Mytilus edulis: one gene and its partner. The main gene of each other region encodes a partner of the protein of the gene in region 2 in a complex. Links are inferred from orthologs where the notes say so. Each region holds a gene or a part of one and is shown on either strand. Other genes may lie near its edges.

Region 1 (7,478 bases), on a different chromosome or scaffold from region 2:
ACAATAATTTAAACTTGCATTTTGAAATATTTTATATACATGTAAATAAAAATGGATATTTCTCAATATCGCAATAAGGCCTAAAAAAAAAAGATATGTGTTTCCGGTAACATCATTTTGAAAAATAGGGTCGGTAGGTCGGAATTCTTTTTTTTTTTTTTTTTTTTTTTTTTTTGACATCGTAAATGAAATCCGGAAAATTTTCATGTTTTTTCCAAGTCCGGATCCGTAATTAGTTTCAAAAACCGGAAGTGTGCCATTTGCAATGTTTTTGAAGCACCTGCTGTGCAAATTTCTTGGATTTTAACCTATTTGGAATACCTTTTGACATTAATAAAATGTTTTACTGGCTTTCTATGCAAGAGGAAGCAAGAGAGAAAAAATATTATGTCATCTATCAGAAGCCTGTGTCAAAAACAGGGTCGGTTGATAAATTTTTTTTTTATTTTTTTTGAAGATCCAATAAAAAAGTTAGGGTCGGGGCTAAAAAAACAGGGTCGGTCGGGTTACCGGAAACACGGATCTTTTTTTTCTCGGCCTAATTTAAATCGCATTTGAATCTTATATGACAAAATCACAATAATTAGTGCACTTGATCATTTCTGAATTTACAGTAATTTTATTTACGTTTTAGAAATTTATTTATGTTTGTATTAAATAAATCAGAATTTGATCATATTCGATTAGTTTATTCCTGGTAATATTTATTTCTAATCACAATCTTAGAAGAGCTTATTTGTACATTGTATTGGGTTAGCAAAAACCTGGGTTTTATGAGTATTGCCTAGCACAGTGGGAAACATAGTGTAAAAGCTCAAGTCAGAATTGATTTTAGTACAGACTGCATTGTTGTGGGAATAAACATGTAATTGTAACAAGTTTGATATTCCCTTTCTTTTACAAGTCAATTTAGTCTTAGTCTAAGATGAATGAACTTGGCCTTTGGTCATCATGACAATATCATATTCATGACTATAATTCACAAAATACTAAAGAAAAACAGTATACATTTTTGCTGTTTACAGTTTATCTTTATCTATAATAATATTCAAGATAATGACCAAAAACTGCAAAATTTCCTTAAAATTACCAATTAAGTGGCAGCAACCCAACAATGGGTTGTTTGATTCATCTGAAAATTTCAGGGCTGATAGATCTTGACCTAATGAACATCTTACCCCATGTCAGATTTGCTCTAAATGCTTGGTTTTTGAGTTATAAGCCAAAAACTGTATTTGACCCCTATGTTTTATTTTTAGCAATGGCGACCATGTTTGTTGATAGATCAAAACTTCGGGTACAATTTATAAACTAGATACCCTAAGGAACATTCAGTTAAAGTTTGGAAGTATTTGGCCTAGTAGTTTCAGAGGAGAAGATTCTTGAAATAGTTTACGACGACAGACGATAGACGCCAAGTGATGGCATAAGCTAACTTGGCCCTTCGGCCCATGTGAGCTAAAAATCAAGCTTATTTCAAGTCTAATTTGATGCATAACTCACAAAAAAACAATTCCTGTTTACCAATTCGTACCAATCATCAAACATGAAAAGATATGTTAATGACTTGGGAAATAAAATTTAATGAATAACAAGAATGTGTCCATAGTACACGGATGCCCCACTCGCACTATCATTTTCTATGTTCAGTGGACCATGAAATTGGGGTCAAAACTATAATTTGGCATTAAAATTAGAAAGATCATATCATGGGGAACATGTGTATCAAGTTTCAAGTTGATTGGACTTCAGCTTCATCAAAAACTACCTCGACCAAAAACTTTAACCTGAAGCGAACGGACGCACAGACGGACGAACGAACAGAGGCACAGACCAGAAAACATAATGCCCCTCTACTATCGTAGGTGGGGCATAAAAATTTTCAATAGCAATGAACATTATTCAGTTATGTTCAGTTGCACCTGGATCATGCAGCTTGGTCAATTAATTCGTAAACAAAAGATTTGCATGTTTTTTCGAGTTCTAGAAAAAACAAGGCTTCACTTTTATGTTTTGTTGTTCCTAGAATACTTTTAGTATTTACAAATTCAACTGATGCAGTTATAACGTAAAACGTGCCCTTTTGTAAATTTCATGCCATAAATTGAAAAATAAAAACACATTTAAACTGGTTTTGTTTACACAAGAGGTGAAAGCAGAGAAATCATGTATCCAACATTTTCTGACTTGTGCCCAACCTGTTCAAAGTCAAAGACAAAATAGATTGATTTTAAAGCACGATTCAGACCATTTTTACTCAAAGATTTTATCCTTTAAACAGGAACAGAGGTAAAACACAAAGCCAATCAAGGTGCACTCAGTGGGTTGAAAGATGCTTCAGATATTTCATTTTTGGTCTAGGGTGCGTAAGAAAAAGAGTGGAACGTAATTTTGAGGCAATGAGAGCTGACTAGATTTTGAGCGAACAGACACAGATTCATGAACACATGTCAGTTAACTGCTAGTAGTCTGTTGTTATTTATGTATTATTGTCATTTTGTTTATTTTCTTTGGTTACATCTTCTGACATCAGACTCGGACTTCTCTTGAACTGAATTTTAATGTGCGTATTGTTATGTGTTTACTTTTCTGCATTGGCTAGAGGTATAGGGGGAGGGTTGAGATCTCACAAACATGTTTAACCCCGCCACATTTTTGCGCCTGTCCCAAGTCAGGAGCCTCTGGCCTTTGTTAGTCTTGTATCATTTTAGGTCTTAGTTTCTTGTGTACAATTTGGAGTTTAGTATGGTGTTCATTATCACTGAACCAGTATATATTTGTTTAGGGGCCAGCTGAAGGACGCCTCCGGGTGCGAGAATTTCTTGTTGCATTGAAGACCTGTTGGTGACTTTCTGCTGTTGTCTGCTCTATGGTCGGGTTGTTGTCTCTTTGGCACATTCCCCATTTCCATTCTCAATTTTATTGTTCACCCTGATTCAGGCTCGTCCTAGTACCTGTTCACCAAAATAAATGTACCGGTTTGCCCAGGTTTCATTTGCTCTTTTTTTTTTTACTGTTGTCTAGTTGCATATTAATGTTTATTATTGGAACAGAATATATTGGAGTTTTTTTGAAAATTTGCCAAATATTGGAATTGCTGCAACCAAATAATTTAATTACAGTGATCAGTGAGAACTATTATTATGACATATTAATGCGCCAAAACAAGCCAACTTTTAGTTATTTCCATGTGTTTTGTGAATTTTCAAGAATTCATACCATATAAAAATCTGAATAAGGTTTATTTAACTGTAATACCCATAATATTAATATTTCATTAATAAAAGTAGTGAGAAGGAATCCAGCGCGAGCAGACTTTATAATGGTAGTATTGGGGGTACTTTCATGACGTATAACCATAAAAATTCTTGCCAAATGACATTAACGGTCATTTTTAGTGCATGACAATAAAATGTACACTTTCTTTAAGACGAAATGATTTTGATGAACGAAGTTAATTTTTTTCCAAAATAACAGTAATGATAATTATTTGAGACCTTTGACGAATCACAGTAAAATTTTACCAATTTGACGCTAATGGTAGCCGAAAATAACTGTTTGACGCCCGACGTAAAAGGGCATTACCACCCTCCTCTAGAGGTGAATGAACTCATTGCGATCAGTTTCAGGGCGAACATGTTTAATCTGGGTGAACGGACCTGTCAACCAGTTTCGTACACTAGGGACAACTCAGACAAGTCATTCATGTTCATTTATCATTCTAAGAAAAAAATATTTATACATGTTCATGTAAGAAGCTTTTAATTACAGGATCTCAAGACTTTTTTTCAAATACATGTAGCCTACCTGCATTTGCGGAATCCCTAATTCAACATTTGCTGTTTGTCTTAATTGAGACCACAACTTCAAAGCTTCTATCTGAATTCTTATTCCACCTAAAATTTTAGGGTCAACTGGTTCTTGCCTTGTGTCAGAGAAATATCCACCAGCAGAGAATAGTGCTTTGAAAGCCTCCTGTTCAAGTTTATCATTATAATTGTACACATCACGTTTTTTAGTACTATCAGATCTGACAAACGTCAAATTGGCTGTTATAAAAATACAAAGACAAACTAAAATTCTATTTTGATTACAGGTCGCCATGTTGAAAAAGATCTTGTTGACCTTTCAACAGACTATTTGAATGGTCATCTGTCAACATTTCTGAAATCCAAACAGATTCTTATTACACTCGTCCTTTGGAAAATTCACTTAAGTTTCATATCCATAACTAAACAGCACTAAATTCCCTAGCATAATGCAAAATATCAATAAAGTGTATTGGAGTGTATCGCTTTTTTTGTCATCACCAATCTTGCATGCTAATATGTAAAGCTACAGCAATACACAAAACAGCCGGAAGTTTCGTAAAATCCGAAAATAAGTGAAAAAATAGAAACTAGTTGTCCAATATGTCAGCCCCCATGTTGCAGTTTTTTTCTAAAAGATTTTGTAGCAAATGCTTCAAGATCGCGCAATCTCAAAGAGTTCCTTCAATATTTAAATTAACAGAACAGACAAAAATGACAACCACTCCAAAAATTTCGAGACATTTTCATGTCAGTGCAGGTAAATTAAGCTCTGAGTGTTGCATAATCATGTTATCAAGGCAGTTTTTACTTTTTAAGATAAGTAATTACAGGCGATGCTCAAGACGTTTCGTCCACATGCTGTATCGGTAATATCTTTTCCAGTTTGGCCAAACTTTGTAAAGTCGTTTCAGTCATTTTTGACTTGTTATAAAGCCTCATATTTATTTAGAAATGAGAAATAGGATTGTTTTTACATTAAGAAATAATATGAGGGGGTGAAGTCTGTATCGATTATCTATTTAATTCAAACATATTTTAATGTTACAAAAGAACCAGATTCCTACCAAAATTGGAAGGAGGCTTGTTTATGATCATAAGATAGTTATTCTTCTTGGAAACATAACATTCCCTCTGTGTTTATAGTTTTCAAAATATGATTAACAGCAAGAGTAGCCGAGACACTGGGTTCTGCGGAACTGTTTAATGCTAATTTATACTTATATACCATCTTTTAAAACTCATAAGAACAATATGAAAAAGTATGGTCTAATCGACTGTGTCTGAAACGTCTGTGGACAAACTGGTCATGTGACAGAAACGTCTTACAAGTATTACAAGAAGTGTTTAAACTTATAAAGGTGGAATTTACAGTTCAGATAACAGGAACTACTTATAGACAAAACAACTATATGACCTTTGCATGCTATTTTTGTTGTTGCTGTGACGACTTCCTACAATGAAAAGTGATGCAGCATAAAATTAAACATGCCTGCAGGACATCATAATTTTTTGGAATAGTCCTAAAAAAGTGAATTCAAAAAATTAAATTCAAAAACTTAGATGGGTACTTCCATGAGAAAATGGGTACAGCCAGGACCTGGAAGTACCCATTTTCTCAAAGCTCTAAGTTTTTGAATTTTATTTTTTTAATTCACTTTTTTAGAGGGTCCAAATTGAATTATAAAATATAACAACTGAAGATGCAATGTAAAATAAAAATGCAACAAGATTGAGAATTAAAAAAAAAATAACAACTACTAAACAACATCTGAACATACATTGTATGAAGTATGATTTTATGTGAAATAAAACGTTTAATCATTTATATAGTTTAATTTTCTATTCAAATAAACAAAATATGTATTCTCTTATGATTATGATAGGCAAATAAAAATTACAACTATAACATAAAATATATATTTAAAAAATGCATCAAATTAATATATGTTTTGTTGTATACATTTTGTAGCTTTAAAGATGGAGTTTGAACTACAACATAATGACATGTACACTGTATAGAATTGTGTTTGTTTTTGTTTTTTCCTCCTTAATAATTAAACATCCACAAATTTGTGTAGCCTTAAACTAATCTGTGTAAAAAGAGCAGTTAAAAATTTTATGATATTTATTAAAGGTCCATTACGTCATGGGGATTATGAATATAAAGATCCAAAATCAGAAGATGAAGTGTAAGTACATATTATACATATAGGACATATACAATATTCACATTAGACATACAACAGCTAGGTGATTGCATAAGCAAAAATGTTCATTTATATAAAAGCATCAATGCACACACAAGTGAAGCACTAAACTAGATTAATGCAAGAATATTATAATATAAACAACAATGAGTAAAAGAAGATTTTGGGGAACATTTTGACAAACAAATTGAGACAGCAAACCTTAAAACAGGACTCTGAACCGTGATGGTACTCCAAACTGTGATGGTTACACTAAGGTGCGATGGTCTGAAGCTGAAGTACGTTTTTGATTACGCTGAAGTGTGATGGTGGCTTTGTGACGCTATCTTGTTGATAGCTATGCCAAAGTGCGATGGTGATAATATTATAAACTTAATTTTCCATGCTTTTCATGTCAATTTGTATGTTAGAAGCAGTTTTCTGGGTTATAAAGTTTATTAGGGGCTTGTAAACTTTAAAAACTGTACTAGAGAAATTGCGAAGATTGGTAAATAGCCTTAATAGGGGAAAGTTGACCTTCTGTAGCAAACTTTTTTTTCAAAATCTACAAACAGCTCCTTTTTACTTACAATGACATTCTCTTACAATGTACAGGTTTGCATACAGACAATCTGTATAATAATATTACGGTAATCCAATAACTCATGCAAGGAACCAAGTAAAGATAAAATGTTAATGCAGAATTATATGGACATGCAGAAAATCAAAGAGAACGATCTCTTATTTAATATGCAACTGTTATTTAGGACAGTCATAGACAAAATGAATGTAAATTCATATACATGTACTAGCTATTTAAACATATACATGCTTCTCATAACAATTGCACATCTATAGCTTTTAAAATAGAAATCATGCATCAAATAGACCATCGCACATCAGCGAACAGACCATCACACTTTGGATTAGACACAGTTCAGCATGACCATCGCACTTCAGCGTCCCCATGGCACATCTGAGTCTAACACATATATAAAACAAAACAAAAACATTTGATATTTAACCTTTCGTTTCTTGAAAACTCAACCAGAGCAAAAAGCAGGGGATTTCAAAAAAGTAATTTCCTTCATCATAATTTTCACACAAATTATATTAATGTGTACAAATTAATCAACCTATGAAAAGTTTAATCAGAAAAAAGTTAATAAATTTAAAAAAAAAAGGATTTAAAATGCAACTGGTGAGCTACATCATTTTACTTTTTTTTTTTAGAGTAAATATTACTTATATAGATAGAAATGGAGTTAAAAAACCTGTCAGAGGAAAAGTTGGTGATAATCTGATGTATTTAGCTCATAGATACGACATAGAGTTGGAAGGTAAATAAAACTTATCATAATACTTCTATTTTACCATTGTATTGTTTTGTTAGGAATGGTGTTGGAACAGTTGGATCATTTGAGTTATCAGGATATGGTATTTTTGTTTTCTGAACTCAAATCTTGGTTATATATGTATT
Region 2 (8,201 bases):
AAGGTGGCGTAATGTAATGTTCATGCATCAAAACTTCGCTGTATACATTGAAATTAGGGTGATGCTTGAAAAGTTTCAGAAGTTGATTACGTTCCTTAACAGACCACTTATACATCATGTCTCCAAATGCCCTTAATGGTGCTAAACTGCCAAAGAGACGACCTCCTTTGATCACATGGGAAGATTCATTGGGATGACTTTTTAAAACTCTTCTTACTTCTTTGGAGTTGTAACTTGTGTGTGCATGTGACATTTCTACTGTATTCGTATGGTCTTTATCAACTTCAACTCCTAAAACTGCTTGACAGTCACCCGTGTTAGCAACATACAAATCTATATCATCAACTAATGCAATACAAGCACAAGACCCTGACAAACCATTCTCTAAAGCTTGGTCATTTATGCTCAAGTCATGACCTACTGGCAAGCATTCTGACATGATGTCATGATCAAGACGGAGAAAAGCGTGCCGCAAATGCTCTTCTACTGAGCATTCTTCAAAGTTTGCTAATGTTTCTTTGGCAAATTTAGCCAAGTTATCCTTGTATATTTGATCAAGTTCATGATTGAAGTACTGTGACTGATAAGGGTACCAGTCTACAAGTTTGTCATGTCCCTCGTTGTCACATGCAATGTCTTTCAAAATGTCTTGCGTTGACATTGAGACTGAAATATAGTTAAATAATCGTTCACTGAGAGCTTGAGAACATGCACTACCACCATGTCCATCATAAACACCGAAAATGTACTTGTTTTTATCTCCATGAGTCAACTTTGCTACTGTGTCACGATCTTCAATTGGTTTATTTGCTGGTAATTTATTCACTTCAAAGTTTTTAATAGGACCATCTGCATCCACTGATACTTCATTTATTTTCAATATCGATGAGACTTGTTTTCGAGTCAACAGTGCGACGTCTGAACTTAAATACCCATGCCTCTGTTTAAATTTTAAGAAAAATCTTCTAACGCTTTCAATTTGTCCTTTCGTATGAACTTCTTCAAAAGGTTGTGAAAAAACTTTTTTCTTCAAACCTATATCAATCCTCTTCAGAGGACAAGTTCTTAACATTCTGTTTTGCACGAAACATAAGTCACTCGATCTTGTCCTTTTCGGTTTCGACTGCTTTGCTTGTCAACCTTACTCAAGGGGTTAGTCTCCCTTTAACAGGAGCATGCAGTATAATCACTGATCAGAACTCTAATAAATCTCATTAATTACCGAAAAAGGGTAACACTGGAAGAAGAACAGCACGACCCACTGTAATATTCGCCCTACTTTTTCAACAACTCGTCCCACTTTGTAAAAAATCGCCCTGTCTGGAACCAACTCGCCCAAATTGAGCCGCACTGGCTCGTCTCAGTTATGAAAAACGGTTAAGGTTGGATTGTAAAAATTAGAGAACATAGCAGGTCCTGATTTTCAATCAAGTTAGCAAAATTTGATGCAGGAATGAAGATAACTAATGTGAATGTTCATGTAAAAGAACAAATGTATAAGATTCTAAGATGAAATAGTGCATTTTCTTAAGGAATCTACATGGAATTTTCCTATTTTGTATTTTAGTCGTGGAAAACACACGGGTTTTTTCCGAGTTATGGTATTCTCAAAGCATTTTCTAAAAGCTATCTTATCGTATTTAATTTTACAATTCTATCATTTAGTTTAGCTTCTGAGCATAATGTTTTTCCTGTATACATAATTCATAAATCCCTTCCACAGTTGGAGTAAAACATTCTAAGCCCTACCTTATTTTCTTTTTATATAAATGATTTAACCTCAATGTTTGATAACACATGTGATCCTGTAACATTGCATGACATAAAATTGTCTAGTATGACTTAGTATTAATATCAGAATCTTCAGAATGTTTACAAAATTGTCTTAACAAGTTAAACACTTATTGTGAAAAATGGAACTTGACTGTCAATCTTGACAAGACAAAAACAATGATATTTAATAAAAGTGGTAAAAAACTTACTAAAGACAAGTTTGTATTGAATAATGAAGTAATTGAATGTTGCACAGAATATAAATATTTAGGTATACTATTCAAGCCATCAGGATTTTTCACTAATGCTGCAAATATCCTCTGTAAAAAAGCATTGTTTTGTATTAAAAAAATACTCTACTCAGATAAGATGGATGTTTTTCCCCATATGAAACTGTTTAATTCCTGTGTTAGCCCAATATTACTGTATTGCAGTGAGATATGGTCGCTAAATATTGTGAAGAACAATAAAACTCTTAAATCTCAATACTTATCTATGGAATCAGTAAAACTCCAGATCAAATTTTCAAAAGGTCTTCTAAATGTTAATTCAAAGGCAGTAAATACAGCTGTATTAGCTGAATTGGGAATGTACCCTATTGGTATACAGGCCCTTAAGTCTTCTGTAGGATTTTGGTTACATATTTTAAAGTCAAATGAAAATGAGTCTTTATTATATAATGTTTATAAAGCTAACAAGCAGTTAAATGATGGATTTGCTTCAAAAGTAAAAATCATAGGCGGATCCAGGGGTGGGGGGCTGGGAGGCCCGGGCCCCCCCTTTTCGTGGGAAAAATTTGGTTGCTAATATAGGAAATCACTGAAGCATGACTGGATCCCCCCCCCCCCACCCCTTAGGTCAGTCAGCTGGTCCCCCCTTATGAAAAGTTCTGGATCCGCCACTGAAAATGCTACTTTCAAAATTGAATTTCACTCATGTTTGGGAAAATCAATGTACCTTTTCTAAAAAAAAGATTACTTTTAGCCGTCGTGAGAGAAGCTCAATGAAAATTACATTACATTTTGGAAAAATTGTCTCTTTAATGATGATAATTCAATAAATGGAAATAAACTAAGAACCTACAGAAAATTTAAAGTAAAGTGTGAACTAGAAAAGTACCTTTTATTGAAATAGATAAAAATGTTACAAAAAATTATGCTAAAATAAGAATAAGGAATAGTATACTGGCTATTGAACGCGGTAGATACAACAAAACAGCTTTAGAAAATAGAATATGTCCTTTATGTCATAAAGAGGTGGAAGATGTATTTCATTTTATCATTATGTTCAGAAATTAATAAAACTAGATCAAAATGTTGAATGAAATTTCTAGTATTGTCCCCAGTTTTAATTCAATGAGTGAAGAAAACAAATTTGATTTTATATTTTCCTGCGAAGAATGTGATATTTTACTTATCATTGTTAACTATATAAGTGAAATGTATAATGAGAGAAAAAAATATAATGTCAATATATGATCTGTGTAATTGGTGGCCCAACTTATAATGTTATGACGTTATGCGCTATGTTCGTACATGTAAGCGTAACACAACGTCCCGAATATTTCGTAACGTTCAAACCAAAACTTCGACTAAAACGTTGTTTTTAAGCAAGTGCGACATTCTTGTAAGACTCCGCAAAATCGTCGGTGCTTTTTAACTACTTATTGAAAATTGATGTATTTTAGTTTTTGAAAAATTAAGAAAAATAACATTTTCAAAAATCATAAAATTCTACCATTAAAAGAGCACTGATAAGCAAACAATTGACGTAAATTTGAGGTGAGTTCGTTTTTACGTCAAAAAATGGCAGTGCGACAACCTTGTAAGCCTTTGAAAAATCGCTCATAAATTACCATATATCATTTTTCTGGCCATGATATTTGTCTTTAACTTCATAAAATTAAGCAAATTAACATTGATGTAGTAAAAACAAACACTACACTAACCCATTTCCATTTTAGATAAATGTTTTTTAATTCTCAAATCTGGAATCCAAATTTTTTTCCCCGTGGGACAGGTTTGCCCTTGTAGTATGGATCTTTTTTTCTATTGCGTCATTATAACGTCATAAAGAATGCATAACAAACTGAAGGAACCTTTATGTTAAATAATGGGAAAAAAAACGTTTTTCAAAATATTAAATAGTTTAGACGAAAATCATAGTTTAGTGGTTACAATAAATGAAATATGTTACGCGGGACAGCCTAAAAATAGCCGGTTTTTTTAAATGAAGCTTGTCGCATGCAGCATTAAACATAGTTTCAACAATTATTTTTTTCGTTTTTATTTTAAAAAACATTATTTTTTCAAAAATTCGTACAATAGCAATGAATGTGATATCACAAAACTATATATTTTGGACTTGGATCTTGCCAACTACACCGATTTTCCAATGAGGTACGAACATCGCGCGTGACGTCTATAAATGAAATGTATAATGAGAGAAACAATTATAATGTCAATATGAACTGTGTAATTGATGGCCCAACTTATAATGTTATATATATATATAAGCATAATATTTGAATTGATAATTTGAAAGAGGAGACATGCTGTCAAAAATAGTATTATAGTTAATATTAATAACTTTTTTTTTTCAATGCTACATGTTTGTAGTGTTTAATGCCTAGTTTTGTAATTAATATGCCTGTCTGTCTGTTTCTTTGTTTTTGTTTTTGTTTTGTATTTTAGTAACAATCCTATTGTTTGGATTTTAGACTAATAAAATTCTTATTCTTATTATAAAATGTGTCATTTTGTCAAAACCTGTAGCTTGAGCAAATGCGCTGTGACCTATCATTCTTATCCTATTTTTTTTTTTTAAAACATTTATCAACATGAGACTGATGCTTTATTACTATAGTTTTAACTTTTTGTACTATTTCTATCTAATTCTAATCTGAGAAAAAAACCACATGTGTTACAGAAGTCTCAATAATAAATTATCAATCTTTCATACCAGCCAACTTTTCAAAATGCCCATGGGGGTTTTGCGTGCAAGATGGCTGTCATAGTCCTAAAAAACCATAAACGGGGCCTGCAAATACATTTAAGGTAGTTTTTTGGCTTCTTCATACTTTTATAAGCCTAAAGTTATTGTAAAATTAATTTTTTTGTTTAAATTTTGGACAAAATTGCTCTTTCAAAATTTTAATTTGGGAGCCTCCATGGGGGAAATCCCCCACAAATAGTGACAGTTGACAGGTATGAATTTTCTTTAAATTCTATCTTGAACATGAAGCAATTATGTACGTTTTCGAATATTCGTGTTGGTATTTGTATATTTGGTAATCGGATATTGTTTGAGTGATTCTGGTTATAATCAATACTACTGTTGATTATTGGCTGCATAGTACTACAATTATGTAAAGCAATTTCGACAGAAGAAAATAAATATAAAATGGCACGACTTTTCAGAAATTTTCGCTTTGTATTACAAGTTGTGAACAGCACAACTCAGTCAACTAAGAGATATTTACAGGCGAATGTGACTGACAATGCTCAGAAAGTTGCAGTTGCAGGTATACAGCCATTACATGTGTCAAAAAGACATTGAAAGATACATACACGTTGTTTCATAATGTTCATGGAACTCTTAAAATTAAGATATTAAAAATCATCAATTTAGACAGAATAAGTAGACTGATAGCAATATAGATCTTGTTAAAGAACATGACATGTACATTTACACACCAATATAAATATTTGTTTTGATTTGTATCGTCTCGTATTTCAACGTATTGTGTTTTCGACGATCTTACGTTTTCGACCTAATTCTACTTTCACTTCCTGTATGCAGTTCATGCCCATGTGACGTCATATTCGGCTGCTATTCTTAGTAAGAATAAGAATAGCAAATGATAACATGTGTGGTGAAAATTTTCTTAATAAAGTTATTTTAATTAAGTATTTACGTTTTTTTTTATTTTATATTACATTTTTGTACCCTTTCCCTAATACACCTTATCGCTATTTGTCCGCCATTACTGGATATCACATAGGTTCCTGTAAAATTTTGACGTCAGGCCACAATTAAAAATATTTCAGTTTGCCCAAACCCGACCCATGATGACTGGGTCTGGGTACGTAGGTTGGCAAATTCTTTTTTTTTTTTTTCAGAATTTGCATGAAAATATGAAAAGGTCTTAAAACAGTACATCTTTTTTTTCCGTCAAACCTTTGTAGAGTCAACCAAAAGCCATGAATTTAAAACCTCTATAAATAAATTAGTCTACTTTATATCCTGAGATGTTTATAACCCTGACTGTGTGAAAGGGTTGGTGGATTTATGAAGTGATTTTCAACAGTTACATCAACAAGATGTTTGTGAAAAAAAAATATCAGCTGATGTATGTAATAATTTAATTTGTTTGCAGTTTTTAAATCCTATATCTTTTAAAATAGATTAAATGTCCTAAAATATTTTATATGAATTATTATCTACCATCCATAGTTTCTGTCTTTTTATGTTTTGAAAACAAATTTATATTTTTACATTATCACACAGGTAAACTAATTTGGCTATAAATAGACCAAAACATGTTCTGTAGAATCTCCAAACTAAAAACGTATTTGTTATAATTTTATTTCTTTAAATAATCAAGTTTAAATTTTTGAAAATAATCATTATTGATAAAATATAATTGCATAAAGTTAACAATTTCTGAAGACTATTTATTTTTAGGTCATGGTTCTAGAGGCTTCCTCACAAATTTGTATAAAAATCCAACCATATCATGTGTTTACTTTTGCACATGTGAAAAAAATATTTCTGACAAAAGCCAGATTTTTCTTGTCAAAGGGGATTTATATTGCACTAAATTATTCAGAAAGAGTTACATTCAGTTAAGATTATATTTCTTATTCTGTGAGCAATTATAGTTTAATCAAATTCTCCCAAACAGCAACTTATTGATTTTGTCAACTGAGGCTTGTAAATTTGAACTATTTGAATAAAAGGGCATCTAATTCACATGATAAAGGAAGATTATAATTAAAGACAACAATTTATCAAGAAGTAATCCCTTTTTATTCAATAAATACAAAATCTTCTTGCAAGATTGTAAATTCGCAACTTCCGGATCCATTTCCTGTCAGAGTAACATTGAAAATATTCGATTGCACATGGTTTTGAACAAATCTACCTGAATATTCTTATCAGATCTTCGATTACACGATGAAATTAACATTGAGCATATAGGTAAGGGTTTGGTAGTACAGACAACTACAGCGTAAAACAAAAACTGTGCCACTTCACATTTTTCACTTCTTTACGTTCGTTAAATCAGAAGATAAAAACAGAGAACATGGAAGATCAATTAACTGCGTCTCTTATGCGCTTTCTTTTAATCTCATTCACAGTTACTTTCAAACGCAAAGATAACAAACATTAAGTTTTATACAATGACGGAGCGGACATGAAAAGAATCCGCAAAAAAAAAATCTTCTAAAAAAACGTCAAAAAAAGAATTTGAGTCGGCGGGTTTATTTTGGGTCGGTCGCGTTTGGGCAAACATACAATCTTTTTATTTTGGCCTCATAAAACATAAATATCTGACGCCACAATGGAAAAGTGATTGTTGTATGCGTCTAAAGTTCAAGCGGCTGGGTCAGCCAGGTTTAGCGATAAGGTGTATACCTTCCAAAAGAATCAATCTAAAATAAACATTTAATGAATGTGTATTATATCTAATTCACATGATAAAGGAAGATTATAATTAAAGACAACAATTTATCAAGAAGTAATCCCTTTTTATTCAATAAATACAAAATCTTCTTGCAAGATTGTAAATTCGCAACTTCCGGATCCATTTCCTGTCAGAGTAACATTGAAAATATTCGATTGCACATGGTTTTGAACAAATCTACCTGAATATTCTTATCAGATCTTCGATTACACGATGAAATTAACATTGAGCATATAGGTAAGGGTTTGGTAGTACAGACAACTACAGCGTAAAACAAAAACTGTGCCACTTCACATTTTTCACTTCTTTACGTTCGTTAAATCAGAAGATAAAAACAGAGAACATGGAAGATCAATTAACTGCGTCTCTTATGCGCTTTCTTTTAATCTCATTCACAGTTACTTTCAAACGCAAAGATAACAAACATTAAGTTTTATACAATGACGGAGCGGACATGAAAAGAATCCGCAAAAAAAAAATCTTCTAAAAAAACGTCAAAAAAAGAATTTGAGTCGGCGGGTTTATTTTGGGTCGGTCGCGTTTGGGCAAACATACAATCTTTTTATTTTGGCCTCATAAAACATAAATATCTGACGCCACAATGGAAAAGTGATTGTTGTATGCGTCTAAAGTTCAAGCGGCTGGGTCAGCCGGGTTTAGCGATAAGGTGTATACCTTCCAAAAGAATCAATCTAAAATAAACAAATTTTCTAAAAATATGAGAGAGGTCTTATTGCAT

Evidence for each region.
Region 1: the proteins of cysteine desulfurase-like (region 2) and adrenodoxin-like protein 1, mitochondrial are in contact, whole or in part, in a cryo-EM structure (PDB 8RMC), measured with the Homo sapiens proteins. The link is inferred for Mytilus edulis from reciprocal best matches to the Homo sapiens genes NFS1 and FDX2. Residues at the interface, in NP_066923.3 of Homo sapiens: Gln153, Lys157, Leu160, Asp161, Arg164, Ala168, Tyr175, Ala384, Ser385, Leu386, Glu387, Pro388, Tyr390, Arg393, Gln456, His457; in NP_001384335.1 of Homo sapiens: Ala104, Cys105, Glu106, Ala110, Cys111, Pro141, Leu142, Ile169, Thr170, Arg171, Asn172, Phe173, Tyr174, Val175, Asp176, His178, Lys181.

The regions. Positions count from the first base shown.
Region 1 is NC_092344.1:18,534,939-18,542,416, reverse strand, and holds the start of adrenodoxin-like protein 1, mitochondrial, read left to right. Parts: upstream 1-4,394; 5' UTR 4,395-4,412; coding exon 4,413-4,569; intron 4,570-5,946; coding exon 5,947-6,001; intron 6,002-7,231; coding exon 7,232-7,338; intron 7,339-7,478. Other genes in the region: VWFA and cache domain-containing protein 1-like, read right to left, coding at 3,808-4,104. UniProt on the Homo sapiens protein: Electron donor, of the core iron-sulfur cluster (ISC) assembly complex, that acts to reduce the persulfide into sulfide during [2Fe-2S] clusters assembly on the scaffolding protein ISCU.
Region 2 is NC_092348.1:85,717,130-85,725,330, reverse strand, and holds the start of cysteine desulfurase-like, read left to right. Parts: upstream 1-5,119; 5' UTR 5,120-5,175; coding exon 5,176-5,296; intron 5,297-8,201. Other genes in the region: pyruvate dehydrogenase [acetyl-transferring]-phosphatase 1, mitochondrial-like, read right to left, coding at 1-1,072.